2 linked regions of the Xenopus tropicalis genome follow. The main gene of each other region encodes a partner of the protein of the gene in region 2 in a complex. Links are inferred from orthologs where the notes say so. Each region holds a gene or a part of one and is shown on either strand. Other genes may lie near its edges. The genes, in order: wtap and rbm15b.

What was found.
Region 1: rbm15b (region 2) and wtap share a complex: the UniProt entries of both Homo sapiens proteins name them as parts of the WMM complex. The link is inferred for Xenopus tropicalis from reciprocal best matches to the Homo sapiens genes RBM15B and WTAP.

What each region holds. Positions count from the first base shown.
Region 1 is NC_030681.2:44,101,435-44,118,018, forward strand, and holds the start of wtap (pre-mRNA-splicing regulator WTAP), read right to left. Parts: upstream 9,033-16,584; 5' UTR 8,726-9,032; exon of another isoform or gene 8,708-8,725; intron 8,508-8,707; exon of another isoform or gene 8,364-8,507; intron 3,802-8,363; 5' UTR 3,796-3,801; coding exon 3,766-3,795; intron 3,657-3,765; coding exon 3,601-3,656; intron 2,203-3,600; coding exon 2,144-2,202; intron 271-2,143; coding exon 143-270; intron 1-142. Other genes in the region: sod2 (superoxide dismutase [Mn], mitochondrial), read left to right, coding at 12,721-12,749, 15,359-15,561. UniProt on the Homo sapiens protein: Associated component of the WMM complex, a complex that mediates N6-methyladenosine (m6A) methylation of RNAs, a modification that plays a role in the efficiency of mRNA splicing and RNA processing.
Region 2 is NC_030680.2:127,339,545-127,356,317, forward strand, and holds rbm15b (putative RNA-binding protein 15B), read right to left. Parts: upstream 8,051-16,773; 5' UTR 7,605-8,050; coding exon 5,244-7,604; 3' UTR 2,148-5,243; downstream 1-2,147. Other genes in the region: manf (mesencephalic astrocyte-derived neurotrophic factor precursor), read right to left, coding at 16,542-16,726. UniProt on the Homo sapiens protein: RNA-binding protein that acts as a key regulator of N6-methyladenosine (m6A) methylation of RNAs, thereby regulating different processes, such as alternative splicing of mRNAs and X chromosome inactivation mediated by Xist RNA.

The sequences.
Region 1 (16,584 bases), on a different chromosome or scaffold from region 2:
GATGTTAACTGCAGAAATAAGAAAACTGATGACAAAAACTTACGCTAGAAATATGCATCATTGATGCTGTGAACCAAGTGGTCTACTTTATTGCTATACTGAAAGTAAAAAAAAAAAAAAAAAAAACTGGGCCAACACTAACCGTGCATTCCTGCATCTCCTGTTCCTTCGTGGCCAGTCTCATCACCAATATATTTTCTCTTCGGGCAGAATCTTGCTGTTGCTGCTTTAGCTTCTCCTCTGACTCCCTCAGTCCAGTGACATCATTAGCTGAAATCATTAAAAATATTTTAATGGAATAGGCTTACCTTTAAGTGTAATGTAAAAGGGACTGTTCACTTCAAGATTACATTTTAGGTCTTTGAAATCAATATACGTTACAGTTGGTCTTTTATACACCTACATACACTTTGTTCTAAATAATGAATAGCACTTGTGTTTAAACAGTTTTCTACCTTTTTAATTAGAATAAAAGTCCATGTTTTTCCTATGACAAGGCAATCGCATACAATTGGTCTTTTTATTTTATTTTTTTGCCTTACATATCTGCATCTTTCCAGCTTTTATCAGGAATCACTGACCACTAACCCTTTAAAGCAAAAAAAAAAAAAAAAACCTATTTCTCCTTTAGGCTACAACTGCAGCAGGAAGCTATGAAGACCAAGCTAAAATGGCAGCTGCTATCTTAAACAAACGGAGGGAGCTTCTAGGGCTCTTTACTCAGGTATGGTAAAGCTTCCTGCAGAATAAATATATTGTTCTAGGTGGCACTAATGTGGCTAATATATTGGCAGTAAAATGCCAAAATGACTTTCCTTCTCCTTTAAAAATCTTCTTTAAAGCTCTTCTTAAACAAACCCCTCTATTCCCCCAGCTGCCATCTGTGTCAGGCATTTGGTAAGGAGAAGCTCATTAAACAGAAGACATATCAGTGGACTGGTATTGTTGATAAACTTATTTCCCACCTGACAGTTGCTCCTAAACACCAAAAAGCAGGAAAGTAAAAGAGCTATATATTTTAGTTTTGTTTAATTTAAAAAACATGAAATATTTCAACAAAAAGTTTAGTTTATTAAACTGAGGTTGAACAAAGTATAGACTTCTAGGGCAGTGTCAATAAAAAATTAGATTAACAATAACACGGTTATTCCTTCAACCCTGATAACCAGAAAGGCCAATTGAAGAAAACATACAAAATAGATAATTTGAGCCACTTGAATAGATGCTTTTAATAGAGACACCTATAAAATACTATAACAATAAGATTTCTCCTCATGCAATTTATGTAATAGAATGAGGCATTACTATATTTGACAACTGAATTACTTTTTTTTTTCTTCTAAATCTGTAAAAATTACTCTATTCAGCCCTCGGAATAACATACCTTTTTCTATGTATCCAGATTTGCCTTTTTTATTACAGCCAGTTCAACTAGTCTTTTACAGACTTCCTTGTCTGAAGCTCACCCACTTTCTGAGCACTCCTCCTCTCTCAGACTACGATAATCTCAAAAAGGTGCTGAATGCGTATGCCTGATTGATTTTAATTGGTGCAGAGGCAGTGAGCCTGCCCAGTAGGCACTTCTTTGAGCTTCATTGTCGTAAAGAGAAGTGCTCAATAAAAGCAAAAGGGGGCAGAGCTTCAAGCTAGACAAGGAAGTCTGTAAAAGGTGCAGGTCAGCTGCTGGTAATAGGGAAAGTAAATAAATCTGCAAGCAGGGATTAAGGGGTGTTATTTTGGGGTCTGTTTAAAGTCATTTTATGTGATTTTTAAAATAAATGGCTTACTATCCTTTAACAAAATTAGGGATACACCTGATCTTGTATTTGACTGAATTTAAACCTTTTAGAAAGGTGTCCTAATCCAACCAGTTAACATCACAACCTTAGATTACAAGTCAGTCATAGGCAGAAATTGTTTTCATACACAAAAGTATTCAATACTCAAAAAATATGAATTCAGTGTATCCCTAAACAAAACCTACTTTTCAAACAAGGCTCCACAACTGTAATCAGTCTATGTATTTCTCTGCATGAAACATACATGGCACAAAAGCAGCATAAGTATTACTTCACGTAGCTACATCTGCAAATGTGAACCTTCATTTTTTTTTAATGCATAAGAAGTATGATTTCCCACTTACAGTTAAGATCTGTGTATTTATTTTCCAGAGCTTGCACATATGCTTCAAACTGCTTCCACCTAGTTGTGGGAAAAAAACAAAATCTAATTAAAATACTGAATAAATTATCTGGGAAGTTAAAGTGGCAAGGTTTAACAACTAACTACACATTCAAAAGTGCATGAACTACTCTCTGCACCAACCTTTGTGAATTAGCAAAGATATTTAGGACAAGATCTCTAACCATATTTATGAATAAAATGATTAAAGGTGGTGACAGACGGGGAGATTAATAGCCCGCAACAAATCTCCCTTGTCGCGGGCAACTAATCTCCCTGAAACGTCATCCCACTGGCGATTTACATTCTAGCCGGTGGGATGGCATTTCGGGGAGATTTGTCGCACGGCGACTAATCTCCCCGTCCACCATGGCCCTAAGCCATAACCCCATTTCACTTTGGCACTGCTGAGTCACAGTTTGCAGGGGAGAAACTAGTAAAACAAATAACTACTTCACAGATAAGCCCCCTGTATAGTTAGCTGCTTGTTATCGCAAAGCCTAACAAAGGCTAAGGGTTTGTTTATACATACCTTATATTTGTTTAAACCAATGGCCTAACTCAGTGCTGTCCAACTTATGTGGTGCAGAGGGCCGGAATTTCTCTAGCATACATAGTGGAGGGCCGCTAATGGAAGCCAGTTCTGACCACTCCTATTTTTAAACCTCACCCACTTCAAACCACACCCATGTTATCACAAGACCATGCCCACATTAATGGTGGTAGTGCAGCAAAAACCCAAATGCTTGGTGCTCACTGCAGGGATATCAACCATCATTCATACGTGAAAGAAGTAAATTATGTCATGTTAAGACACACCCTTAAATCTATATGCCTCCTTCTCCCCTGTGGATAGCGCAGCAACACCCAGCACATTATTACACACCTTAGGGACCATTTATTGGCTATTTCCAACTGCTAACAGACTCCCAGAACAAACCTCTGCTAGGTTCAACTCCCACAGGCAGCATAGGGCAGGCAGAGTATGGCACACACTGCCCATGAGTGCCATACTCTGCCTGCCCTATGCTGCCCCTGTGTTCCATAATCTACATGCCCTACCCTGCCTGCCCTATGCTGCCTGTGTGTGACATACTCTGCCTGCCCTACCCCACCTGTGTGTGCGCCAAGAAATCACATTTCCAATGGCAAAAAAAGGAAAATATAAATTTATACAATTTGTAACTATTGGCATTATTTTAGCAAAGGTGTACATAGGAGTTTACTGCACCTCTAATGTCAAGACTTCATAATAGCAAAACATTTGTACAGAATATTGGAAGCTACAGTGGACATCTTTGGGGGAACAAATCATCACTACTAAAGGGCTGTGGTGAGTTGGACTGGTACCTTTTCTAAAAACGAGCACAATAAACAGAATCAGTGTTGAAATGCATTCTGCCCAGTCTTTTAATTTACCTTTGCAATAGCTCTTCTCTGGGTAAGACCTTAAAGTCTGACTCGTTGAGACGAACCTAAAAAAATTATATAAATTTATTTTAGTTTAAGGTTTTAAGCAATATCGGTGGAATTAAAAGACATGGGAAAAAAAAAAAAAAAAAAAAGCAAAAAAAAAAATATTACCTTTTTTGGGAGAGGTTCTTCGTTGGTCATGGTGACCTGAATAACAAAAATATATATATAGATATTCAATGATCAGATATTTGTTTGAAAACACCAAGCTTTTTTCATCTCAAGTGAGGGGACAAAATGAATGGTAGAATAATGAATTTAGGACACTTCCTGCTGTTCAGATCTGCACAAACAATATTAACACCGTATATGGTCATGTATGGCCACATCACATACATCTAAATATTTTACCGATAATAAAATATCAGCTGGTGTTTGCAAAAATGTTATTATAGTACTGGGAAATTAACAATGAATTCAGTATTACCCAAACATTTTATATTAATTGGTTTATGCACACTATCTTACTTGCACATAAGTATCACATTTTTTGTTTTTTTGTAATTTTAATTTTATTGATTTTTCAGAAAGAAAAGAGACAAAAGATATTCAACATATCAACTGTATGCAGAATGACAAATTTTACATCTTAAGTGTAGTATGGGCTTGGTACAGATTGCTTTTATAGCTGTGTGCTTGTTCACTAATGCTCTTATTATTGTTGCTCGCTTCAGCAGGGACATCTTAGGGTGAAAGTATAAGAGAGAGAAAGGACAGATTAGGGTGAAGGCATTATACTTTTTTATCAGTAGAGAACCTTGTTTTTCTCAATGGATTGGTCCTTGGAGTTGCACTATTTTGTCCACCAGCTGCACCATCAATTAAAAAAAAACCCAGCTCTACAACAGTAAAACAAATACTATGCATGCATAAACCTGTACCTCAATATAAACCTCTGATTGTATAATTATAAAGGCAAATCACCAGAAAAACAGGCAACACAATTAAAAAAAGTTTGTTTTATAAATTCAGTTGAAAATTTGTTTGACAGATTAGAATGAAATGAATGAAATCTTCAGAAGGGCATTGGGCAGAGGTGGTCTGCAAAAACTGACAAGAGATACTCCTGCGTATACTGGTGGGAGAGGGTTTACATTACATGCCCAGATTCTGTCAGGCAGTTTAGCTGATCAACCATACTGCCAGATATCATGCTAGATTATGCCTGCATGCCAGGTCAGGGACTGGTTTTAAAACTTTACCTAAAGTACCATGTCAGTAGGTGTACTTGGCAGACGAGCAAATGAAGTGGCGCTACAACTCATCTTCATTTGCTGTAGTTTTGATAGTTCTGGCAGTCATCCCAAATAAATAATAATAAATACAGATAGTGAGATAATGGCTAAAAACTTCCATTAATCTTTTGTATTCCCTGTTATAGCCCCTATCTAGTTAACTGATTGGATTCTATGGAGGCCTAGCCAACAAATGGCCTCCTTAACACCATGATCTACTTTAGGACAATAGTCATAAACAACAAAGCAATAAATATCAGTCAACAGAACGGTTTGGCACATGGTGCCTCTGTAACAAATGAGTATTACAAGTCACATGATTTCAAATACCAAGATAATAGTACCAATTTTTTGTTCCTCTATTCCAGTGGTTATAGGTCTGTGTGGCTTAGGTTAGGCAATAATAGGATTCTGAAACCATAATGAAAAATTTCACTCGTCTGATACAATAAGTTTTACTGTGAATATCCACATGGGCTTGTACTTAGCTGAATATCACTGATCTCTATTAGAAGTTTCAAAGCATTTTTTTACACAAGAACTGTACTCTGGCAACTTGCTAAACTTTCTGGCATAATGCGAATGTGTCTTCGTAAAAAGAAGGTTACGCTAAATTTATGAGGTGGCTTACTAAGGATGTCTGTTGTTTCAAGGGTAGAGAAGGACCTTGAAGCTAGCATGTTTTAACTTTGCTTACTTCCTTAATGTACAGACGGCAAAGGTACAGGATCCATTATATGGAATGCTTGTGACCTGTGTTTTTCCAGATAAGGGATCTTTCTGTAATTTGGAACACCATACCTTAAAAGAGAAGGAAAGGCCAATATATTAGGCACCCCCAAGTGACTTTAATCGCTTACCTTTTACCCCATGCTGGTGCCCCTGTTAGGAGAAAACTGCACCAGCCCGGTGTACCTGTAGCGTTGTTAAAGTTCGGCTTTTCACTATACTCGCAGCAACCCCAGGCTGGTGAGGTTTTCTCCTAACAGGGGCACCAGTCCGGGGTAAAAGGTAAGCGGTTAAAGTCACTTGGGGGTGCCTAACATGTTGGCACCCCCAAGTGAATTAGCCTTTCCTTCTACTTTAAGTTTGCTAAAAAAATGAAACATTACATAAACCCAACAGGATTGTTTTGCCACCAATATGGATTCATGAAGTTAAGTTGCGATTGAGTACACTGGACTATTTGATTAGAGAGAAAAGTAAAATCATTCTAATCAATTAGAATTACTTGATTGGTATGGCTGTCAGTTCATGAGAAAACACCTGGATCTGCCAATGGTTTCAGGAGCCTGTATCTCTTGAACTACTGACTGAAAGAAGTGTGGCTTAAGATGATAACTGAGTGTACACTGTATCCGGTTACATATTTATTTACCAAGTAGCTAACTGATGCATAAAATGCACAAACTGTGCATTTTCAAGTAGACTACAGTGAAAAACCATAAACTATGGGAGGACCTGGCCACTAAGAATTTAACCATTTTTTGAGGCAGCCAGTGTGCGAATGTGATGCACAATGATTTCATATTAAACTGCATTCTAGCTTGATTCCCTGCATGCCAAAATAAGCCTTTAAGTGTATGTACTCTGTATCCCTTTCCCTACAGAACTATATTGATATTTACAATGTTTTCATGAGCAGTTTTTGTTGCTTGCCAGCATCAGGAAATATCATCAAAGATATAACATGCCCTTTCTGTATAAAAAGAGCACTAAGAAAGAGGCAATTGTGGCACTTTCCACATAAAAGGCAGGAGAGGGCTAACCTAATTTGCTTTGCAGGACTGCATGACAGCTTTCTCAAAACTTTTACTCACTCCTCTATAACTAAAAAAACAATGTCACCAACAAGATCATGTTAAACATTTTGCTTTTAACTCTACTTTCGCAGAATAAAAATGAAATCTAATATGGCAACATAGATCTGAGAATGACTAATAATGCACCAGGAGGGTTAACAAGATTGCAGGGCAATAACTAGGAATTAACAAGAAACACACTCAGGTTTATTATATTCCAAAATGAAAGTGTCAAAACCTAAAAAAAAAAAACCAAAAAACTGGTGGGCTGATAGTGTCCGATACCTTGTCTACCTCCAAAACATGCATTATGAATCAGCTAAGAGAACTGTACAAAGTATGTTTCCCTTAGTCAAACCACAGCAACAATAACACCAGATGGATTCAAACTGCTTCCAATTTATATTGACAAAATGTGTGGGCTTACTATAAGCATCTATACACCAAAAAATGTTGTGTTACACATGCAACATTAACATAAAATACCTGTAATATGCAATGCATTTCAGAGCTTTATTGGACACTTGGACTTCTCACGTTGATACCCCAGGGCTTTCCTGGTTCTCCAGTGAGTATAACTACGTTCCACAATTACAATGTTTGTCAAAAAACAATTCTCTAAGGGACATGGCATCAGCTGGTTGACAGCATATAACAAACTACCAGCAACAGAAAGGTATTTTGGTACTACTACCCTTTATCTTCCATAAAGATTAACCATCTCATCTTTGAATCTAATGAAGATGCCATGTATGATGCTCCATGTGAATCATATGCTAACTGCATGAAGATTTGATTTATTGTAGTATCACTGCAATTCTATTGTTTAATGGCATTGACATTTCTTTTTTAATCTTCTTGTTTTAATTCTTTATTTGAAAATAATTTAAATATTTAGATCATCTTAGAATCAAGATTACCTAGAAGTGAAGTCTATGTGGCAAGTGAAAACCTCAGAAGTACTGGATAAAGATTCCAGCCAATAAACACAAACAGTGCTAGCAAGGCTACATTTTACTGTACTCTCTTGGAAACAATCACTAAACTTACAATGGGACACAGGTAAAAATGCTTATATGTGCAACATATTTTCACATATTGCTGCATATACCTGCAAGTCACCTCCATAGGGGCAGCATCTGCTCTCAGGGTAGTTAGTACTCCATGCAATCACAGCATGGAATAAAGCACAAACAGGCAAAACAAACTCCCATGTGAACTAGGATTTTTAAGTCACCTTGCTTCACTTACTTTAGTAACCAAATCTTTAAAATGTTGTATTTACATGAACAAAGGTTATTCTGCTTGTAAAGCAGAGTATTTATAAACAAAATGGTGGGAAAATTGGGGGGGGGGGGTCTCAAAATGTCTAACAAACATGGCTTCTGCAAATATGTGCACTTTTAAATAAGCTGAGGTCTCTCATTTATTTTCCCCAATTATATTCCTTCCAAAAAAGCAGCATGTGAAACTGTAAGCATTGCCACATCCAGTAGTTTCACTTCCATGTAACTGTACAGCGCTTTCCTGCTCACTGGCAGACAAGTGACTGCTCATATACTTTGCATATAACTGGAAACACGGTAATTGGGTGAATTTCACTGCCCCTCTCCACTATCAGAGCCTTTGGAAAAGCATAGTGACAAAGGTTAACGTGTTATTTTCAATTTACATCAGGGAAGTCCTTCAGCTTATGTTCGTTTGCGACAGCAGCTCCCACCACTCCGACTAATCCCAGCGGGGACTGCAGTTGGACATCCCTAAGTCACGTACATCCCTCCTCGGATGGGAGCTGCAGATTTCCTGCAATGCCCTCTCCTTTAACTACAGCCCCGATTCTAAGGTCAGTCACGAGAAGGCCGCAGCCTTCCGAGTTCCGCCATTTTTTTTTTTTTTTTTGGAAGGAACAGATACAGACAATCCTGGTGCCCACCACACACACACACATACACAGAAGAGATTGAGTCACCAATAGTCCCAAAACGTACAAACTAGCACATGGTTTCTGCTTAATACCTCACAACTCAAACCCACCGTGTCCTCTCCGCTTCTGCCTCCCACCTTATGCGGTGAGTGAGCTGCGCAGCCCGGGCGGCTCCTGTCCTGGTACTCGCAATTCCGCGGTGCTCAGAGAAAGAGTTCCTATTGACACCGGCAACAATTAATATGGCTTGTGCGACTTTAAATCGCTACAGGCAAATTCGTAGTTTCGGTCAGTCTTATCAGGTCTCCGAATGTTGCTTTTCTCTCGTCTCTTCCTCCTCTAGATGTCTCCGACACAAAATGGCGGCAGCGGAGGAAATGAGGCGGGAGTCATTTCTCAGTCACACCCCCTGCCATGAGAGAGATACGCATTCTCTTGACTGAACTGGAGCACGAAATTTTATTAGGAAAACGTGCTTTATGTGTAATATATATTTGTGAGTGTGTATATAGTATATCAACACACACACATATATATTTTAAAGTGCCTTATGTATACAAAATTGTTTATTCAAAACTCTATAATTGTAAAAACATTGCCAATTTTCACTTCATATATTTGGCATGATTTCATGTTTTAGGGACAAGGGACAGTTTGTAGACAAGTTGGCTGCCCCATGCCATGCAATAGCAGTTGCACACACAAACTTAAAGGCAAGTTGCATTTAGAACTTTTACTGATATTTAGTATAGGACCCATTATCCAGAACGCTCGGGTCCTGGGGCTTTCCAGATAAGGGGTCTTTCTGTAATTTGGATCTCCTACCTTAGGATGGTTTTGTTCCAATAAGGATTAATTATATCTTAGTTAGGATCAAGTACAAGGAGATGGCCTCTCCGTAATTCGGGTTTCCGGATAAGGGGTCCGATACCTGTATGTATGTAACCTTGAAAAAAACACTATTTTTGTAAACACTGGAGCATTTTGCAGTAGTTATGATGTAAAGCTTTAAAGGACCAGTAACACCAAAAATGAAGTGCTTTAAAGGAGCAGTTCAGTGTAAAAACAAAACTAGGCAAAATACATAGACTGAGCAAAATAAAATTGTGTTGCAGCGCGACTAATCTCCCTGTGTGTCACTGCCCTAAATGGCACAGGTAACATAGGCGATACGCTCTGTAGAATACAGGGCCGGCCCTAGGCCGATTGGACCTATTGCTGCAATCGGGCCCGCGCCAATGGGGGCCCCGCCGTGATACACCTCTTTTTTTTTTTAGCCCGGGTTCCCTTTAAAAATGACGAGCCTTTTCATTGGTGGTCAGCGGGTAATTTGATTGGTCGCGCCCTGTGCGTATATGTGACATCAGTATGCACAGGGCGCAACCTTTAAAAGTGAGGACACAGTGAGCCAGAGGATGCAAGCAGCGGCCAGCTGGAGGAGGAGCAGGGGGACGCTGAGAAAGAGCATGACAAGGGGACTCCTCAATTGACCCTTTGCCTTGAGGCACCCTACTGAACCCCCTTGTTACATACCTTAATGAAACAACAGGAGACAGAGGTGGAGAAAATGGCCACAGCATTTATTCACATTTTATCAAATAAATAGGACCTTGCAAGCCTAACCCAAGGCAATATTCTTAAGCCATAATTTCATAAGAGGTCGATACTATGCTCTGCCGTTCCTCGCTGAAGACTTGAATGAGTATTAGACTGCCTCTACCTACAGAGAGGAAACTCTGATACCAGCAGGAGCTGCATTACCAACCATGAGTGAAGTTCAGCAGCCCTGCTGCTGGTCCTGGATCTGCAGTGTCTTGATGATAGGATATCCTATATCCTTATACCGTATAAAGATAGAGAAAGCACAATATAACAATGCATTCAGGAAAACATCCAGATTCAGTTATTAATAGATATTATGAAATCAAAAAGAAGAGAAATTCCTGACATTTTGCAAAATATGCAAAAAGAGGGAGGGTGGGTGGGATGTTTCTTCCTCCTCAGAAGATACGGACGTGAGTGCCCTCTTTTTCTGACATCACATCCCTCTCATTTTCTCCGCCCCCCAGGCCGGCTTTCTCCTGCCTTAATTCTTTCCTTCTCACCTAATCACAGTTGAACCTAGTTCTCCAATCTCTAAACATAAACCAGTGTAATCTGGCTGCTGGTTATTTGGATCCCTTGTCATGCAGCCCCTGCGCTTATAGCTCCAGGGCTTTCCTGGATGAAGCAGGTGGGCGCTGGGGGTAGAGTTGGGGGAGCTGGGGGAGGCCTGGGGGAAAGTTGACAGAGCTGGAGGATGCTGGGGGGGGGGAGAGTTGGGGGAGCTGGAGGATGCTTGGGGAAGAGTTGAGGGAGCTGTTGGATTCTGGGGGGAGAGTTGGGGCATGCTGGGGGGAGAGTTGAGGGATGCTGGGGGGAGAGTTGAGAGATGCTGGGGGGAGAGTTGGGGGAGCTGGAGGACACTTGGGAAAGAGTTGAGGGAGCTGTTGGATGCTGGGGGGGAGAGTTGGGGGAGCTGGAGGACGCTTGGGGAAGAGTTGGGGGATGCTGGTGGGAGAGTTAGGGAATGCTGGGGGGGAGAGTTGGGGGAGCTGGAGGACGCTTGGGGAAGACGCTTACTAGATACTGTATATCATGACCTGGATGAATGAGAATCTTCATAGACAAACAGACAAATAGATACTGCTTTGAATAGCAATTACAAATAACTTTAATATCAATAAATGCATCTGATTAAAGTTTATTCAAAAGTTATCTTTTTCTTTTCCTCTTAATACACCAAAACAATGCTTTCTGTCACTATGTATTTTAAGAAAACTAAAGTGTTCAGATCCCCTCTGAACACGTGATTTACACAGAGATGTCAGCTTCCCCACATTTTCCTGTAGTCTCCCAAATGTATACATGGAGTTTCGAACACATCCTAATTGGACAGATTGGGGATTTAACTGGGTATAACAGGGCATGGTCAAAGCACCCCCCAGTGAAATAGATCACTAAGTTTTTTTCCCAGGCTGGTGGTCCTGTTAGGAGAGAACTAAACTAGCCTTTGGGGAAAAAAAACGAGCGCAGCTCCTGTATCTCATTACCTTACTATCTTTTTGCTAGGTGCTTGCATTCTGCCCATGTACAGTAGAGTAAATCTTAACAGGTATATTCTACTGCTCATGGAGGAAAGGAATTTGCACAGGGAATGTCTGGGACACCAGTAGAAAGGTAAAAAAAAAAAAAAACTGCATGGCACTCAGTTTTTTACACCAGCAGGTGTGCTTCTGTCCTAACAGCACCAGCCTGGTAAAAAAAAAGTTAGCGATCTATTTCGTTGGGGGGGGGGGGGGTGCTTAATATTTTTGCACTCCCCAGTTGAAAAGTATTACAATGGGGAAAGTACAACAGTCTGAGAGGTTTGTGTCCATTTTAAAATGAAACTTTCAGAAGAGGCTCAGGGCTGCATGTGGAGCAATGAGGAACACACAACCTTCGAACAACCTTACTTACAACATAATTTACATGGTGAATCTGTTTATTTCTAAATATTGTTGTGCACAGTTATTCATCTTTATCAATTAAAGTATATGAAGCACAACTAAACCCGGCAGACACTTTCTCATGGGGTAATCATATATCAGGGGCTTACCTACAACAGTAGCCATTCCATCTCACATTAAAGGAAAACTATACCCCAAAACAATGTAGGTCTCTTAAAAATATATTGCATAAACAAGCTCATATGCAAAACCCCTGCTTCACTAAAATTAAAAAATATATACTTTTTAGTAGTATTCTCCTTATTACTCTCGTCCCTGTTTAGTCCTCCCTGTGCCAGTCATATCGACTAGCGCTATTCTCCTCTGCTTACTATAGCCTCATTCCAACAAAAAGAACAGCCAAGTGTTACACAATACAGCTCGCCACCTGCCTTGCCCCGAAACGAGCGGAGAGTGACAGCAGCAGGGGTGGGAGGGGAATAATATAGCCCGGAAGTAGATCGGCGGCAGGGGGCGGGGCAGAAGGTACAAGGGCAGAGAGTTATACTGACGGAGCTGACAGGGGGCAACCAGCAGACTCCTTTTCGTTGTCGAACTTGCACTTGACCGCAGACATGCTGTGCAGGCTCAGTGTTTGTGGCAGGTGAGCGAACGGTTCCCATAAAGGAGCAGCAGCCTAAGGACTTTGTGGGACAGGGAGAGGAGCTGCACACCGTGTGGTATTCACAGCATGGGCTGTGCTGTTTGCTCACATGATGCAGCATCTTATTTGTAGCAGGCAGGTTCTATAGAACAGCAAGTTGAGTGTGGTTTATGCAGTAGCTAATATATGTACCGTATGATATTTGGGTAACTTCTATCAAATAAGGAGCCAACACCAACAAAGTTACTGCAATTGCAGAAACATAGCATTTTATTGGAGCGCTGGGCTATTTTGTTTTTGTACCTGTGGTGAAGTGTTGGACTGTTTTACCCTGCAGATAACTTATCAGTCTGTCCCAGTGTTGGATTCTAACAAACTAGCAGCTAATAATTAGTCATAATTCATTTAACAGTATGATGCTAAGTGGGTAATGATTAATATAGTTTTTTGATGATTCATATGTATTCATTTCTTTTTACTACAAATATCCTAGCAGTAACTGGAGTTTACCTAAATTTCTGGCTGTGTTACTTTGGCCGCAAAAATATTTTTGCTCATTTGGCAATGAATTCAATTTACCAAACTTTAGTAAATGGACTCCATTGTGTTCAAATGGTCGTACTATGCTTAATTCAGTAGTTCTTGAATTTGCAGACCATTGCCCTGATCCATTGTGATCCATTGGGTTTCAGTTGCAGTACTTACAAAGGTATTGCTGACTGGTCATCTTTGTGTCATAAAAACACTTGGCGATATTTATTTCAGTAAAATAATGTGCTTTTCTAAGCAGTTTTGCTCTTCACATTCACTTTCTATCTTTAATGGTTTCTGGATTTTCAGAGTTTTAGGCTGCCAAAGAAAAGTATTATAATACATACACTAAGGGGCACATTTACTAACCCACGAACGGGCCGAATGCGTCCGATTGCGTTTTTTTCGTAATGATCGGTAATTTTGCGATTTTTTTCGGCGTCTTTACGATTTTTGCGTAAAAACGCGAGTTTTTCGTAGCCATTACAAAAGTTGTGCAAAGTCGCGATCTTTTCGTAGCGTTAAAACTTGCGTGAAACGTCGCGCCTTTTAAGTTTTAACGCTACAAAAAAGGCACGACTTTGCGCGCAAGTGTTAACGCTACGAAAAAATCGCGACTTTGCGCAACTTTCGTAATGGCTACGAAAAACTCGCGTTTTTACGCAAAAATCGTAAAGACGCCGAAAAAATACGAAAAAGTCGCAAAATGTTCGTTTCCAATCGGAATTTTTCCAATTCGGATTCGAAATCGTGTCTTAGTAAATCAGCCCCTAAGGTTTCCTGAGAAAGGTTCATTTTTTTTTTAATGTTTTTTGGCAGTATATGATTGTTTTGTTTTTCTTTTCTCTAAAAATTCAAGATAATTCTTAATATTTTAATAAAAACCACAAACAGATTTATAAAACTGTACGTGATTTTTTTGACTAACAAAAAGGTTTAAGCTTGTGAGAACCATTGAGTCCTATGGAGGCTCAGAATAGTAGAGAAATAATAATCAGCCTCTCCTTGACGCATTTTAAAGGGGAAGTTAAAAACATTGTTTTTAATTTCACGCATTTTAAAGGGGAAGTTAAAAACATTGTTTTTAATTTCACACATTTTTTAAGGGGAAGTTAATTCCATCATTGTTTACTATTTCACCCAGTTTCAAGGGAAAGTTATTCCATCATTTACTATTTCACCCAGTTTCAAGGGGAACTTAATCCCACCATTGTTTTCTCTTGCACACAGTGGACCTAAACACATTGTTTTCCAAGAATTGAGCACCAGTGCTCCTAAAATGGCAGCTGGAGCAATTCCTGTTTGGGAAAAATAAAGAGGATTCATGGAAATGAACAGCCATTTGAATTTCACAAATTTTTTGAGTTTTTCTGCTTGAAAAAATTGTGCTTTTCGGACAATAAACTCAATATTTGTGTTTGACCCTACCCTACAGTATTGTGGCATTTAATAAATGCAAGAATGATTGTGTTTTATTAAAAAAAATACCAAGTCCAGTTTTTACGAGTTTCAAGGCCAGGAAATTCCAGTTTTAGTAAATCTGCCCCTTAAAGTGCCAAGTAAGCAGATCTTTTTCAGATCTGGCCAGCCAAACCAATGTTTGAACCACAGTGTTGCCAGAGTAGACCTACCAGGAGAGGACTTAACAAAACAAACTATTCTCATGTGATCAGATTTTCATACCTGCCTGGTTGATATATGGCTGATCTCTGGCCAGGGTTAGACTGGGCCGGCAGGACACCTGGAAAAAACCCGGTGGGCCCCGCTGACCCAGGTCCGCTCCCTTCCTGGAACTTGTGCGTACCACTCAGCCACAAATAAAAGTAACGTGGCACAACGTGCATGCATAGGGGGGGCTTTCTGCAAGTGTATGGAAGGCAACGTGATGCCCCAGTGGGCCCTGGACCCAAGGTTGATCAAAGTTGCTGCCCTTCAACTTACAAAATATGCATTTAGGGTTACTATTCATCTGTTTAGAAAGCTGCACACCACAAATCTTTTTTAGTTTTACTGAGATATTTTTTTCAACATTGCCCTTTTAACTTGATAGAAATCTAGTGTTCTTGTTTCTTGTGCAGGGGAAGGCTTAGATGTGCTCCAGCCTTGACATACTTTACGTCCAGGGAAAAGCATACTCTGCCTGACTTACCATATGATTATGGTGCTCTGCAGCCCCACATCAGTGCTGAAATCATGCAACTACACCACAGTAAACACCATGCTACTTATGTGAACAACCTTAATATTACAGAAGAAAAATATGCAGAGGCCCTGGCTAAAGGTGAGTGTTCCAGTTGGTTTATATTTCATCTTTTCCCCTTGCAGCTGAAAGGTTTCTTTACACATTTGCATTAGGTGCATGTGGCCAGCGCTGTCCATGTAGAGGCAGGAACCTTTCAATCATGAGGCAAGGTTAGAACCTCACTTCAGGCTGTACTCCTGAGGAAGCTGCCCATAAAGTGTATATAAAACTCCTGTTTTAAAAAGGAAATTTAGCTTTTACTGGGCCAGTAATGTGTACTCTGTCCCTAGACATGGAAATAGAAAGATAGGGCTTGCAGTTCACACCAGTGGTATTATCACAAAAAAAATACACTTTATAAAGATATTTTTAAAGGATCATAATACAGCACAATATTGCTCTTATGTTGAAGTACAATTAATCACATATAATACATACCACCAGATAAGCAAACATGAAACACAGTAAGAGAGCGCATACCCTTGCAAAAAAATGAGAAAACCCCCAACGTTTTGTCAAAAAAGCCTATGTCAAGGGGAATTTCTAGACCATGACACGGCCAGGACTTGGGTAATCTGGGCTAGGTTGCATAGTCCAGCAAAAATCCATATCCAATTCTTTTCTTTTAAAGTTGCCATATTTTGTTGCTCAACTCCTTGATCATACTTGGATGATAAAAAGTTAAATTTAGACGAGATAAAGGATCCAACAAATTCACTGTTCGGAAGCTCTCAAAGTCAACACAATGCATCTCACCATGAATACATGGTTCTGCTTCTGTTTGCTGTATATTAGCTTGTGTTTCTTTTTGAGGAGACATATTTTCTTTTTCATTTAAGAGCAAAGATATCTGAGGCAGAGAAATTTTGAAGACCCCTAGTAGAGTTTGTAATCTCTTGAAAAGCAAAGCAGCATTTTTAATTATTTTTTTTTGTTTATTTAGCTTTAAAGAGGACCTGCCTCCCGATATAAAAAGCTGTATAATCAAAGCCATTTTCCAATTAAACATTAACAAAAGGTTCTTTTTTAAATTAAAATACATATGCTTGTTATAAATGTATT
Region 2 (16,773 bases):
TAATCCTTGAATAAGTGGCACAGTGCCTGTAGTGTAGGTTGGACCTGGCTTACCTGGCACAGTGCCTACAGTCTAGGTTATACCTTGAGAAAAATGGCACAGGTTGGACCTTGGGTACCATATGTGGTTCAAAAAAGTGACAAATGACAGTTACGCTCATTTGGACCTTGGGTGCCTGGCACAGTGTAGGTTGAACATGGGGTACCTGGCACAGTGCCTACAGTCTAGGTTAAACCTGGGGTACCTGGCACAGTGCCTACAGTCTAGGTTAAACCTGGGGTACCTGGCACAGTGCCTACAGTCAAAGTTAAACCTTGGGTACCTGGCACAGTGCCTACAGTGCAGGTTAAACCTTGGGTGCCTGACAGAGTGCCTACAGTGTAGGTTGGACGTGGGGTACCTGGCACAGTGCCTACAGTCTAGGTTAAACCTTCACTAAGTGGCACAGTGACTACAGTGTAGGTTGGACCTGGGGTACCTGGCACAGTGACTACAGTGCAGGTTAAACCTTGGGTGCCTGACAGAGTGCCTACAGTGTAGGTTGGACGTGGGGTACCTGGCACAGTGCCTACAGTCTAGCATAATCCTTGAATAAGTGGCACAGTGCCTGTAGTGTAGGTTGGACCTGGCTTACCTGGCACAGTGCCTACAGTCTAGGTTATACCTTGCGAAGAATGGCACAGGTTGGACCTTGGGTACCATATGTGGTTCAAAAAAGTGACAAATGACAGTTACGCTCATTTGGACCTTGGGTGCCTGGCACAGTGTAGGTTGAACATGGGGAACCTGGCACAGTGCCTACAGTCTAGGTTAAACCTGGGGTACCTGGCACAGTGCCTACAGTCTAGGTTAAACCTGGGGTACCTGGCACAGTGCCTACAGTCAAAGTTAAACCTGGGGTACCTGGCACAGTGCCTACAGTGCAGGTTAAACCTTGGGTGCCTGGCACAGTGCCTACAGTGTAGGTTGGACCTGGGGTGCCTGGCACAGTGCCTACAGTTTAGGTTAAACCTTGGGTACCTGGCACAGTGCCTACAGTCTAGGATAAACCTTCACTAAGTGGCACAGTGCATACAGTCTAGGTTAAACCTTGGGTACCTGGCACAGTGCCTACAGTCTAGGTTAAACCTTGGGTACCGGGGTACAGTGCCTACGGTTTAGGTTAAACCTTGGGTACCTGGCACAGTGCCTACAGTCTAAATTAAACCTTTGGTACCTGGTACAGTGCCTACAGTCTAGGTTAAATCTTCACTAAGTGGCACAGTGCCTACAGTCTAGGTTAAACCTGGGGAACCTGGCACAGTGCCTACAGTCTAGGTTAAACCTGGGGAACCTGGCACAGTGCCTACAGTCTAGGTTAAACCTGGGGAACCTGGCACAGTGCCTACAGTCTAGGTTAAACCTGGGGAACCTGGCACAGTGCCTACAGTCTAGGTTAAACCTGGGGAACCTGGCACAGTGCCTACAGTCTAGGTTAAACCTGGGGAACCTGGTACTGGGTACCTGGTTCAGTGCCTACAGTCTAGGATAAACCTTCAATAAGTGGCACAGTGCCTACAGTCTAGGATAAACCTTCACTAAGTGGCACAGTGCCTACAGTCTAGGCTATACCGCAGAAAAAGAAGAGAGCACCTTCACGCAGGTTAACTGCTTCAGCCTTTATTCAATAAAGGCTGAAGCAGTTAACCTGCATGAAGGTGCTCTCCTCTTTTTCTGCGATATTCCAAAAGGCCAGGCGGTGAGCCATTGGGGATTGATGCATCGTGCCATGTGAGCAGTAAGGCTGTGCGTTTATATATTTATTTTTTTTAGTCTTGGTTATAATCTTGGGTACTTGGCACAGTGCCTACAGTCTAGGATAAACCTTGGGTACCTGGCACAGTGCCTACAGTCTAGGATAAACCTTGGGTACCATATGTGGTTAAAAAAAGTGACAAATGACAGTTACCCTTTAAAGCTCACTTTACAGCCATAACAATGTACAGAACATGTTACCTTCCCTTACGGCTGTCTGCAAACCCGCATCAAATACACACCACATAGATTTGCCTCAAACCCAGGAACCCAAAAGGCTGACATTTTAGTTTAAAGCCTGGAGCTGTGCAGCCATTTCGGTGGTGCAATTCTTTTTATACATAAACGATGTAAAAGAAATGTGTTTTATTTTCTCTGTACTGATGCACTGCACTTGGCAAAATAATGGATGTGAGAGTAAGGTGTGCAGCAACAGCACTGCACTAGGAGGCCAGCAACAGCCTCTTTTTCTGCTGTACAAGAACAGACAGAATAGGTGCCCCTTGAGGATATTCTCTCCTCAGACACCAGAAATGCAGTTTGTGACACATTATGTAACAGAGTAATACCCTATTTTTTACCATTACCTTAAAACATGAGGCCAGGACCAGCAACCTGGTCTACTGAATGAAAAAGTGTTTTTTGTGTCTGTGTATTTTAGCCACATGCTGGCCATATAAAGAAACCCTGGAGAGTTACTGACACTGACGCACCTAAAACTCCCCCTTCCTTGCGCATCTGATGCCCCGCTGATGATTGGCACAGTTGGCACATAAGGCTGGCACCATAGGTGCTTGATGCTTAAGAGCCAAATGGGCAAAAAGGGGAGTTGGTTAGAGGTCAGCGGCAATAACTGAATGCGCAGAATGGCCAGCAGGCTGGTGTGGGTGTGAGTAATTATATATAAAGTACTGGGGCTTGTGCTGAGCTTTTTGTTGCATCTGAAACACTTTCAGCCTTTTACACGTGGTCTTGAAAATTCAGTGTTATTTATTAAATTTCTCTCTCTACATTCGGAACATATTGGCCTCTGGACACTCTGGCTCCCTAGAAACATAAAAAGCCACTAAAAGCAAATGCATATTTTTTCTGTTGGTTGAAGGGGGGAGAATAAAGGCCAAAGCCTCTAACTGGAGAGAAGGGGTTGGAAATTCACCAAAACATACATGTTAAAGATTTAAACAAATGTAATTACATACTAGGAGCTTGGGTTCTGGGTACAAAGGCATCTTCAGGACCTTATCAGCTACCCATCCAGCAGCACAGAACCTTTCGGGATAAAACAAGGACAAGCCAAGAAAGACTTGGCTCCCAACCAAAAAACCAGCTTGAGTTAAACAGGGAACAAATAAAATGAGTCTGGTGTAAATGTAGGGGGGTAAGGGAGCTATGGACTGACTGCCCGATAGATCTCTGCCTGAAACTCAGCCACATATCTACTGGGCAGATTTCAAAATAGTCGTGCTAGGCCTGAGAAGTGTGCATAAGCCGTTATTAGGATTCTACTGTTGGCCAAGTGATCCGATCAGCCCAGTTTGGCCCAGAAGATAGGTGAACAAACTGGGCAAAGATCCACTAGTTTGGCTAGGGTACCAAACAAGTGGAGCTATTAGTGTAAGGCCAGCTTAAGGATAGCTGTTATGAGTATCTTAGCAACACAATGTTGGGGGGGGATGGGGGGAACACTCAAATTAAATATCAAAACATAACGTATAAAGCAATGCTCCTCTTGTAATGTACAAACCATAGAAACTGTATTGTGCCATCAGCTTTGCCAACAATGTACACAAAGCAAAAAAAATATATTAAAGGCAACATTTTAGAGAGATAATAATTTAGAATACATGCATCAAAAAGCCCCAAACTGCAGCTGGTAAAACCCCCACATGGCACGGGCTGGATATAAGAACATGGATGGAAGATTAGTGTTTCCTCCCTCTACTGTTTATTTTATCTTTGCATAGTACGGCTCCTATATCCCCAAGCTACACCCCAAACATGTGGTAATGTCTATGGCAAAACCCTTGGGCGCCCACGGTTATATCTCCAAGCTGCGCTTAGTTCATCCTGCCTGTTGATGCATGTATTTCTAGAACAGAAATTTGAATGTATAGATATATATATATATATATATATATATATATATATATATCGCCTTTCTGGATTTTTAAAAAATGGTTCTACATACATTGGTATTTATAACCCCATAGATAGCAGAATATGCTTTGATTTTTAACTTGAGTGCTGTCATTCCACACCTATAAGAGGGTGAGAGAAGTCTTGTTTGGTCACATGTATATGGTTCAGCAATATATACATACCTACGGAGTATGTGCGTGCAAGATACATACACAGAACCGCCAGATGTGCTATTACATACAGATTGTGATATTGGAGAATGGGTACACCTTTACGTGTTCATTAAATATATGTAAAATGCACACACATACGCTTGCACACATGTAAACAAACATAAGAACAGTGTTGTGTTGGCTCCGGGCAGTGATAAAGTTAACCCCTGCTAAGTTCCTGGACTAATAATGAAGATGCAGTGCACACAGATACTCAGCCTTAACACAAACTGCCAGCTACTAGTCAGTCAGGTAGTGGTAATAACCTAAGTCCCCCTTCGGCGCGCACACACACACATAACGAGCTTCATTAAGCAGAAATAATGAGCAGGGTTTGATCCTAGGAGGCTGCTTCTGATTATAAACAGGTAGTTTTATCCCACTAATCAGGCTCATGGGTTCTGCTAACAGCCCTGCAACCCCCACATCTCTCACTCACACATACACAGCCACCAGAGGGACGCTCAGTGACAGAACACGCTGCACTAGTGTCACATGTACATAAGGCACTCTTGGGATCCTCTGACTACTGAGGTCTCCAGGACACAGGCACACAAACCCTAAAAACAGAACTAGTATCCCCAATGTGACAAACTCTATGAACTAGCCAAAAACACAAAGCTTTTCTAAGGTGCTCGATTACGGAGCTAGGGAGCAGAATACACTAAGGGGCAGGATGTAAAAATAACACACACGCGCACACAAAAGGAAAATGGATCTGTCCAGCAGCAAGTTTACTGTTGGAATTTGACTAGAAAAGGGGGCCCTAAGTGGAGGAGAGACTACAGTGAGCGGGGTGGTGGTACCTTCCCATGATTCCTCACTTCTGACTGCCTTATATACCTGTGACAATAGCCATTGCCGTGCATTGGAACACCGACAGCTAACAGGGTTAGAAAACACTTTGTAAATTAGGTTGCAGAACCTTTTACACAACTAAAGTGATACATGATTTATTCCACTCAGTTCAGTCCTAACTTGAACTCCCCCATATTTTTGGTTGCCCGCCCCCATCAATTCAGAAATCCATAACAGAGAGAGGACAGTGTAGGCACAGGACAGTCTAACAGGGCACCATTGGGCACAGTGACTTCTGGATTAGGCGCTGTCTTTCACCAACACAATAATCATGTTCTCTTCTAGCTTGCCCACAAGGCGCTGAGCACTTTGCTGGTACAGCTGGTGGAAGTCACATGGAGGGAATGCATACAACATGCCGCTGGGGTCCCTGCCCTTGTTGCTCCCTCCCACTGGTAGGCTGATAACTCCAGCCGCCTGTTTCTGTTTTAGGTAGGAGACCAGGTTCCTGAGAAGGCGGCGCTGTAAGCCAGGTTCCCCAGGTATTGCCCCCTCATTTTGTGGGGCTTGTGTGGCAAGAAGTACAGCATAGCCTCCGGCAGTGCCCTGTCTCACTTTACGGGTGACCTCCTCAAGCTTAGGCTGGTCAAGCCGGAGTCGCTGGGCAATCTTAAGTTGTGCCAGGCTGCCTCCACTTGTAGAAGAACGGTCCTTGAGTAGGGCACCTGGCACATCACGGTCACCCTCTAAGAAATGAAGGTAGGTTGGAAAACAGCTGTTTTTAAGTACCAAATGCCCACACCACACAGGTGGCAGCGTCCGTCCCTTCTCCACTCCAGGGGATTGCCGCTCAGCAGGTGGCTCAGGAGGCCTAGGATGGTGATTCCTGCGGGGCTGGGGCGGGTCAGGGGTTGGGGGCCGGGGCTTGTCCTGGGATGAAGGTCTGTGATTGTGTTGCGGGGATGGAGGAGTACTAGGGTCTCTTTCCGGAGGCTCCCTCCTTTGACGATCTGGGCTCCTCTCGGCTCTACTCCGAACTCTGTCGCTAGACAAGCTGCGTCGTCGCCTTCTTTCCTCCCGTGTTTTTGAACTGCTGCCCCCACCACCTCCACCCCCACGGTCCCCACTTCTGCTCCGTGCACCTTGGCCTGAGCTGCGCCGCTCAGAATTTACCCAGCCGGCTTCCACAAACGGTCTCTCGCGATCGGAGTATAGAAGATGCGGAGGGGTCCTATCTCTCACTCTGAGATCTGGGTCCAGAGCAGTACGATGCCTGCTATAAGCTTCAGGTTGCAACAACTCATAGGGCAGAGGCAGAGGGTATGGAGTTGTCTGAAGAGGAGCATAGCGAGATGCAGCTGCAGCAGCCTCGTCCGGCGACACAGTGGCAAAGTCTACCCGAAGCCTACGGTCTCCCAGTGCAAAGCCCCTCATCTGCGTACAAGCCGCCTGGGCGGCATCTAAGCTTTCATACTGGATGTATGCAAAACTGTCTCCTTTGACATAATCCACTGTACGGATACTCCCAAAGCGGTCAAACTCCCGAGCTAGCGCTGCGAGAGAGGTGTTGGGGCCCAGCCCCCCCACCCATAGTCGTGTGCTCGGGTTGGGTTTCCCATAGCCAATTTTCATTGCATTGCGCCCCAACAAGCGCCCGCTCATTGCAAGCTTTGCCCGATGGGCCATGTCCAGGTTTTGGAACCTGAGGAAGGCGTACGCCGCTCCTTGGCCCCTCCCCGGGCGCTTGATCACCACTTCCTCTATGGGGCCGTATTTATCGAATGCCCTCCGTAAATCCACCTCCGACACCATGTGGTCTAAGTTGCCAATGAAGAGATTGCGGGTGGCTCGGTGGTCATCCTCTGGGGCCAGCTGCTCATCGTCGGCCGTACTGGTGCTGCTCATACCGTAGGTGGCCCCCCGGACTCTCTCCTCATAGAGTGGGTAGTAGCCATCCCCAGAGGCCGCTGTAGAGGTGAGAGAGGAGGGCAGGAGCAGGTGCCTGGGGGAAGTGGATCGGGGGTAGCTGGGCAGAGAGGTGAGGGAGAGGGGGGAAGGCTCAGGCCGGCGGGTCGGTTGCTGAGTGAATACCGGCTCCACACGCAGCTGCCGATCGTACAGCACCGGCCGTACCTTGGCGTGTCGGGCCTGGCGAGCCTCTGCCGGCCTGCGGAAGTTGATGTAGGCGACCCGGCCGAGCTCCGGGGTGTGTGACAGCTTCACACTGATGTCTCCGAAGCGCTGGAAGTGCCGGAAGAGCCAATCCTCCAGCAGCGGGTCGGGCAGCGCCGAGCCCAGGTTACTGATCAGCAGCGTCTTGTACTCCAGGCCCGGGGCCTCGGCCGGAGCGGTCAGTAGAAGGGGCCGGGGCGGCGGATCTCTGGGCCGGCGGGAGGAGGAAGAAGACGAAGAGGAGGAGGCCCCGGCCTGGTTAGGCCTCTCCCGCCTTCCCGAACTTTTATGGTGAGCCCCTCCGGCCTCCTCCCGCCTCTCTCTGGCTCTCTTGGCGCGGCCGGGGCTCTGCTCCCCGCGTTCGCTCTGTCGCTTCATGCTCACGTCCCGCTGCTGGCTGCTCGCCGCTCCGTCACCACACGCGGGGGAGGCGCGCTTACTGTGCAGCCGCCATCTTCCACAATGAGTGGGGAGGGAGAGTGATGTCATCAGGGGGCGCCGGGAGCGGTGACGCAAGCAAGGGTGTGGCGCGGAGGGTCACATGGGCCGCCGGCGGGCCCCCAAAGCGCCTGTCACTTCTGACTAACAGAGACTGTCACTTCTAAATGCATCACAAAGGTTCCCTGCAGCAAGGGCAAGTGGGGGGCAAGTGGGGGCAGAAAGGCCATGGCCGCCGTCAGAAGAGTCTCTCCAACGTCTTGACTGGGATAGTCAGGGGTAAATAGGGTGATACTATAATGTGTAATAATGGCTCTGTAACCTGCTAGCTGAGTAAACGGTGAGGAAACTTAAAATTAAGAATTATTACGTTGTTGACAGGAAGTGCTAAGACAATCTGGTTGCTATGGGTTACTTGGCCTTGCAACCAGGGGCGTTTGGAAGTCAAAATGAAAGAAGAATATTGAAAGGTATAAACAAATACATAAACAATAAAACTTTATCCAATAAGAAACACCCTGCTGTGTGATCATTCCCCATCATGCTGGGGCTGTAGGTGTAACATGGGAGGTTGGGTGCTGGGCAGGTACAACATGGCTTTGTGTAGGCAGGAGGGGTACATACCTGCTTGTAGTGGGAGCATGAAGAGATAATAACCAATAAGGAATGGTAGGGTAGTTGTGCATCTTTTCACTTTGAAGTTTTGTCTCTGGGCTGCAGGGATTCTTCCTAAAAGCCCTTGTTATAATTCATCACACGTTAAGGCTGATGCCACACGTGGCGTAGGGCTGATTTTTTCCGCTTGCCGAAAATTCAGCCCTACGCCTGCTACTTGTGCCTGCACCCGAATGAATGGAATACGCTCGGGGGCAGGCACATGTAGCCAATGAAAACGTGAGACTTTGCATTCTCTCGCGTTTTCATGCGTATATCGGCTACATGTGCCTGCACCCGAGCGTATTCCATTCATTCGGGTGCAGGCACAAGTAGCAGGTGTAGGGCTGAATTTTCGGCAAGCGTTTTTCCTCTTGCCAAAAAAGTCAGCCCTACGCCACGTGTGGCATCAGCCTAAAGGGATAGTTTACTTTGAAATAACTTTTAGTATGGTGTAGAGAGTGATATTCTGAGACAATTTGCAATTGGCCTTCATTTTTTATTATTTGTGGTTTTTAAATCATTTAGCTTCTCATTTAGCAGCTTTCCAGTTTGCAATTTGAGCAATCTGGTTGCCAGGGCCCAAATTTCCCTAGCAACCATGCATTGATTTGAATGAGAGACGAAAACAAATAGGCAAAGGGCCTGAATAGAAAGATTGATAATAAAAAGTAGCAATAATAATACATTTGTGGATTTACGGAGCATTTGTTTTATAGATGGGGCCAGTGACCTCCATTTGAAAGCTGTAAATATTCAGAAGAAGAAGGCAATTCAAAAACTATAAAAAAGTAAAAATGAAGGCTTATTGAAAGGGGAGCCTCCCAAAAGTGGCTGGATTGCATAGAAGACCAACAGAGCAGGTTCTGAGCAGTGAACTGGATTGTGTAGGCGAGGGATAGGTCAGCAGGCGGATAATGGTTGTAGAACAAGGCAGATTTTACAGTAGCAGTGGATAGACAGAACTGTCAACTGCCAATTGTTTGGCCAAACCAAATCTGAACCCTCTGAACAAGTCATGTGGCTGCCCTAGATATTTTGATGAGGACCTTAGCCAGTTTGGAGAAGAAGAAGAGTTTCTTCAAGGGAAAAACTGTCTACTACAAACAGAAGAGTTATTTTACCTTTACATAGAGGCAACATTGGTCTATAAGCCCATATTGTTCCAAATTAGCACAAACCTGCTGCAGACCATACAGTAAAGTTCTGGATTACTGGGCAGAGTCTGGCTTTAAAGACAGTAATAAAAAGGGAAATGTCCATTTATGGTAGGTCACCAAACAAGGAGGACGAATCAGAAATTAAAGAGTCTTGTGATCAGAAGAAACTAGAGTGGAACAACCCCAAATGACAATGAGCTCTCGAGGAAAAGCTTAAGCACAAAACTATTCTCATGAAGGCTTATGGGAGACCATCAAAGACCCTCCTAAAAGCATGAGCAAAGTGCACAGTTTCTCTTTCTACCAGTGAGGTAAATCCCAAGTCAACCTTGCCAGGAAGTAAAACTATAATATATGGCACTTTGGAAAATTAAACTATAATAACAAAGATTAGAAAACAGGTCTGAGAATGACCATCATAGCACTGGGGCACTGGTATATAAGGTTGGGCAGATGCTGTCACCGCAACAACAGGGGCTTTGCAGCACAGGTGCCAATGGAGGAGTAGGTATGAATAGCATCATAGTGGCTGCATGCATGCATCTAAATGGTGACTAGGAACTGGAACTAGTATGATTTTATCTTGCTTTGAATGCTGGCCAGAGTCAAACCAAAGAAAGGGGGCACCAAGGGCCTCCCACTGCTCCTCATGTTCTCTTCCAACCTTCTCTCCTCCCAAAATTTGCATCACCTCCTGCACAATAAATGCCACCACTCATTCAGCCACTGCCGAATTATAGAAGGGAGGCACGTGCCTCCTCTGGCCTTAATTTCTTCTCCTGACTCTCAAGATGCCTTACCTATGTTTTAGAACATCTGGAGTTAAAGCAGAAGTACCCCCAGTGAACCCCATTTTATTCCCAAGAGTGCTGTAACATCACTGAGGTTCCATAGAGAAAGTGGGAATAACTAAACAGGGTCTTTGATGGTCTAGGCATAGGGCATCTAAACAACAGGGCATATTATATAATGGTGGTTTAATATGTAATAATAGGATAATAACAGGAAAGGGTAGACTGCAAGAAAAATGATCCAAGGGAAGGATTACAGAAAACAGGTTAATGATTAAACAGGCCAAGGTCATACACAGAATAAGTGAACACTGTAGGTGGAACTGTATCAGACACCACATTTGGTTGCTGAACATTAAATAGAACCTGCCATATATACCCTGAAGTACCCATTTTCCTCAATAAGGGGGAGAAGGGTGGAATTTTTGTTTGAGGAGCATACCAACAGAAGACTTTGCACTGAAATACTTGTATTATATATCAATATACTGGGGAGATTAAAAAAGGGCCAACTGATATATATTCATATATAATACACAAGAGCCATGAATATCCTGTAAATGATATCCTTATAAATGGAGCTTAGTGATGGCATCAGTTATAATCAATGCTTAGTTATGTAATTTCTGTCACATAGCTTAATGAAACGTGTATTATAATAAATAAGGTACCCCCTGTTGAAAAATACAAGGATGTTAGAAGTCAACGTGGAGTTCCATGACCTGTATAAAAGTAGGCAGCTCTCAGCCCTGTGCTTTTATATGGTCATGGAACTCCATGAGGTGACGTATGCATTCACTATATACAGCTTTATATTCTCCCCCGTACGTCCTCAGTTTACATGCACATTAGTGATGCAAGCCTGTGCTTCTCAGGGGGGTCAGGGAATGGAACATTCGGAGAAATGAAAGGTTCGCACAGGGCCAGTACAACCCAGACTGTTTACCACTTTCAGTTACTGCTTGGTGTTCAAGAAGGCAGAGTCTCAAGAGTTTTCATAATTTGCCTATAATTAATCTGCTGTGTTTATTGCTGTTTGTGCAGGTTATCAGGCCTTGCAAGGCTTTACTGTGGCCCAGATCACGCTCCCTCAAATGACTCCATGGGCCAGTTTAGTAGTTGTAGCGAGTTGGTGGCCATCAGGATAGGTTTGGTAAGAACGTAGCAGGTACAGAGGAACAGAAAGAACATGCAGAACTGTTACTCTGTACAAGCAAGAGTGGATTTGCTCTATTATGGCCCAAATATATATATAAACATTTGATATAAGCCAACACAGGCCGGGGCAGGATACAGGATCAGTCTAACAACATAGCAAATAATTGATTCTACCTTTAATGTATTTTTTAGCTGTAATATTGGTGTGTAGGCGCCATCTCAGTGCATTGTGCCTGAGTCAGAGCTTTCAGAAGCGCTACACATTAGAACTGCTTTCAGGTAACCTATTGTTTCTGTTTCTCCTACTCCCATGTAACTGGAGGAGTCCCAAGCCGGACTTGGATTTCTTACTATTGAGTGCTATTCTGATACCTACTGGGAGCTGCTATCTTGCTCCCTTCCCATTTTTCTGCTGATCGGCTGCTGGGGAAGGGGGGGGGTGTTTGTCACTGCAACTTGCAGCGCAGCAGTAAAGTGTGACTGAAGTTTATCAAAGCACAGGTCACATGGCTGAGTGCACCTGAGAAATGAAGAATGAGGTTCCAAAATTATATATAAAAATTTTTTTTTTTTTTAAATCTGCTCTTTTGAAAAACGGATTTCAATGCAGGATTCTGCTGGAGATGCTCTAATAACTCATGCGTTTTTTAAAAAAAATATTTTCCCACGACAGTATTTATTTAAATGGAATGGTGCTAAATGAACTAATTTCTAATTATAAGCAAGGATTAGAAGTGTAGGACGCAGAGTTTAAAGATGGCTAACTGGATGGCACAATGCGCAGAGCCTAAGTACTGTGAATAAAAATACTTAGCTTTATTTGCAAAAATGCCATGATATTTCTGGCGGACATTTTAACCACAAAGTTCTATACACTGAGTCACCATCGCAAAGTTAGTGCGGTCTACTGGAGTGGGCTTCCAGACGTTCCAACCTGAGGCAGGGACTGAGCCGATGGCCTATACAGCTTGTATCACCTGTAGTGGCCTCAAAAGTGTCATGGATGCAGAGTACCACTCTCTTATAAGTGTAGGAGGCAAAGAGCGGAGTATTCTAATAGACCTCCACACTTGTCCCTATTGATTTTGCTTGCCAGAACAGCAGAGCTTTAGCTTGATATAATCATTTTATATAATTGTACATATGCAGGTCAAGACATACATAAACTTAACCCATGCTTTGTGAATCCACACAAACCTGCTCCCCCCATTTATGTACCTGTGTCCTACTCACTCTGTTGACATCATCGGCAGGTCAAGGTGATATAAACAAACACCACCCTATCAGCAGTGTGGCTTGAAATTGTGCAGAGAAGGGTAGGGAAGCGGTCAGGTGGTGGCATATTTAGCCTGCCCACAACCCACTTCTAGGGACAAATGGTTCCCTAATCCTGCCCAATTCACACAATAATGAAAGTAAGACCATGGTGCTCATTTATTAACCCAGAGAATAGTGAAGGAAAACAATTCTTTCCCTTTATAAAGCCATACTGGCACATACAACTGGTTGTTTCCCGAAAGAGTGGGAAGCCTGTTTAGCTAATAACTATTGTTCAATATTGGACAGGATTTTTTCCTTGTACTGTAATTTATCGGTCTGCAGGTTGGCCATATCTGCAGTAGGCACAGAGGTCTCCTGTGATCTTGATTATCTGTAATAGACTAAACAGGGGCAGAAGATGCTTATTGAAGGGCAATTAGGATGCATTTTCCTAATGGAAATTGTAAATTGTGAATTTTTGGCAATCTATGTCTGAAATTTGTGTAATGCCAATGTTTCTCCAATATAGGCGCTAGACCAAAATTCTATAAAGGATGTGATATATGGTGCCACCTGCTGGACACAATGGAGCAGACTTCTTATCCCAGTCAACTAGTAAGAACTGTCCCCAAATTTACCTTTGAGCACCAGTTTATTAGAAAAGAATAAGCATTTATTTTACATATTTTAAAAAAAAAAAAAAAGCCCAAGTCCCGATATTGATTCTATGTGGATACAGGAAAAAGACTGAGACATGCAATTATATTCTTGATATTCATTGTCAAAAAGCTGCAAACGCAGAGAACTGGAAAGCATGCAGATACTATTAGTAGCACTATAGCATACCAGTTACTTGCACTGAATAAATGGCATCAGTGCCACTGGCAGCTGTAGAGTGGTTTCCCAGGACTTACCAGCAGAATAAGCAGTCTCAATCTGGCCATACACATGAAGATCTGCTCATTTGGTGAGATCTTGTGCTAAGCGATATCGGGGTGATCTGATTGTTTAGCCCTAGGACCATCCCAATATCACCAAGCACAAGGTGGGCATATTGAGCAAAGATCCAGTCCTTGTTCCAATGGAATTTGTAACCTGTCCAATAGCTATCTGCCTGATTTTGGATATTAGGCAATGGGAGAGGGCCCATATAGAAAAGCTGCCAACTGTTCTGTATCAACTTTTCAGTGTAAGGGACCGAATCGTCAGCTTAAATCTACCTGTGTATGGGCAGCAAATACTTAGGTGGGCACACCATTTGCTAATGATTCCAAGTTAGGTTTGTATGCCACTAGCACTGCTCAATTTCTCACACCTGCTTTATAAAGTGCAAAGTTACTTTATTTATACAGCCTAAAAGCCAGATTGATACAGCCTAAAAGCCTATGCACCCCAACTAATTCAAACTGTAATAAACAGGGGCGGGCCAAGCCGACCGGGCGCCCTAGGCAACCCGGTCGGCCAACTCCGCCCACCTCCCCGCCCCCCAAATGGCGCATGCGCACCAAAGCACAGGAGAAGGTGCAGGGGGTGGGGGTGGGGCGATTACATCGGTCATTGCCTCCGCCACTAATGACAAGCGGCAGAGGCAATGACAAAGTAGCACTAGGGGTAGGCAGGAGAGGCTGCCTGGCACCCCTCAATCGTTGCGCCCTAGGCAGCTGCCTCTTCTGCCTACCCCTAGTTCTGGCCCTGGTAATAAAGGAAATACTGAGTGGCCTTTTCTTGCCTCTCCATGCCCTAGGGCTAGGTCAGTAATAAATGCTCACCTGGTGTCATGCAGGTTATACTAGAATAAAGATCTTAAATCTGCAGTCTATTAAAGCCAGCTTTATTGTTAGAACACCTGAAAGGCCTCGGGTTATTCTACATGTCTGTGCTGAACAGCCGATGCTAGCCATCTGCTTATAAAAGTATTGTGCAGTACAGCTATTCCCACCTCCATCTCCCTAATGGGAATCACTGGTATCTACATTCCACTATCGCACTGTGATATGAAAGCTGAACAGGTGTTTGCTAAATTGTCCAAACTTGTTTTTTACAATATGTTCCCATTAAGAATCCAACTAAGGCAAGGGTTTCCCAACCTGGCCCTTCAGATTGTACAGTTTAGGCAGGTCTCTTCCCGAGTTGGTTCATATGTATAGCATATTTTCAATAACCCTGTATTCCCTCACTTACGAAAAAGGAAACCAACCTCTTCTTGAAGCTATATAATGTATCAGCCAGCACGACTGATTCAGGGAGAGAATGCCACGACTACACAGCTCTCACAGTAAAAAAATCCTTTCTGAATATCTAGATGGAAGATTTTTTATTTTTTTTTTAAACTGGAATGGGTGCCCTCATGTCTGCTGAAAGGACCTACTGGTAAATAAAGCATTAGAGAGATTATTATATGGTCCCCTTATATATTCATACAAGCACCTTTTCTCTAGAGTAACCAACTTGGCCACCCTTTGGCTACAGGATTGGGCACAGTTTCCTGACCACGTACAAACATCTTTATTAAAAACCAACAGACCTTAGTTTAGAAAGCGGTCATTTGTGAGGCACTGTATCAAAATCCAAATAGATCAGAACTACTGCACCCCCTGTACAACTTCTTACTAATCTCATCATAACACACAATCAAATTTAAATCCTAACCCCTTTTTAAATGTAGGAATTGCATCAGCTTTCCTCCAGTCCATAGGTACCATACCAGAGGAAAGAGAGCTTGAGAAAATCAGAAAAAGAAACCTGGCTAAAACCAAACTAAGCTCTCTGTACCTGAGGGTGTATTGTATCTGGCACTGGTGCCCTGCAATTAAGTGCACAGGTGAACAGAGTGAAAGCAGCCATTGTACAGCACTGAGATACGGTCAGGGGCGCTGCTGCCATGAGTTCAGAAACTCACCTCTGCTGGCAGCTCCCTGCAGGTTGCCAGGGGCAGCAAAAAGCAACTCCTGGTAACTTTAGGCGTTGAGTTTTTAAACCGGAAATTTGGCTCTTGCACTGCTGGTAGCGCAATTGTGCTCTGGATGAATTTAGTTTCTGGTTACAAAATAAAAATAGCTATAATTGTACAGATGCGAGTTATCCATACACCATTATATCCTAACACCAGCTGAAATATTCTACCCAAATGCACACATTGATGTAACCATTTAATGCCCAAAACAAACAAAACGTTTGTAAACACTGTAATATCAGCATAACCTCCTAAAAAATAATCTGGTTTCAGACAGAGGTAGAAACAAAACTGTTTAATTTCAACAGCAAGACAGGTGCAAATGTGTTATCACTGTTTTTGAACATTCCAGTAGCTGGAGGGTGCCAGAGAGGTTCAGTGCTAATGTGTAAAGCAAAAGAACCCTGTGTGAGTTTTCCTCTTGGGGCAAAATACTGCTGATTACACTAGGTAACCTGCTCTATACCAGTGGAGCCTGCAGCTGTGTGCTTAGCACAATGGGACATCTGTACAAAAGCCCAGCCTTTCCCCCAGTCTGCCTTATTGCTCATCCAGCTGCGTGACACCTGATATGAAGCAGAGGGGGCAACTGTAACGCAGTTCTTGCCTTCATTCATTTTTTTTTCACCACAGCAAGAGGCAGAGTGGATCCTTTTATTTTCATAGAAAAAATGCCACTCAACAAGAACCCAAAGTAACATGGAGGTAATAAAAATTCCCCGTACTGCAAGACTGTCCGAGACAGCGCAGAGAAAACCAATAAGTTACAAGCAAATGTATCAAACAAAAGTGTCCCACCTGACTGCAGGGTTCATATTCCTGCAATCTGGGGGAGTCTTCAGACTTTTACAAAAAAAAAAGAAAAAAAAAAAAAAAAAGAAAACAGAACTAAAGTGAAAAAAAAATTCTGTTCCTTAAAAAGTAAAAATGATAACCATATTAGAGGAACGTCTGCTGGCTGGGTCTATAGTTTAGAGGATCAGTTCTTGCACTAGATCCACAGGATAGCGCTTTAAAGGTCAGTCCGTGCATTGGCTGCATTGGGAGCGTATTTAGGCATCAGTTCATTAATCTTGCGGATAAAGTCCGATTTCTCAGCACAGCCCTTGCAGGACTCGCCCCAGTCATCCAAAATCTTCTTCAGTTCCTTGACTTTGAGCTTCTTTAGATCCACTGTGCTCAGGTCAATCTGTTTATCTGTAGGAGTGAATAAAAAACCCAGTCAGAAACCAATAAAAGCTCAC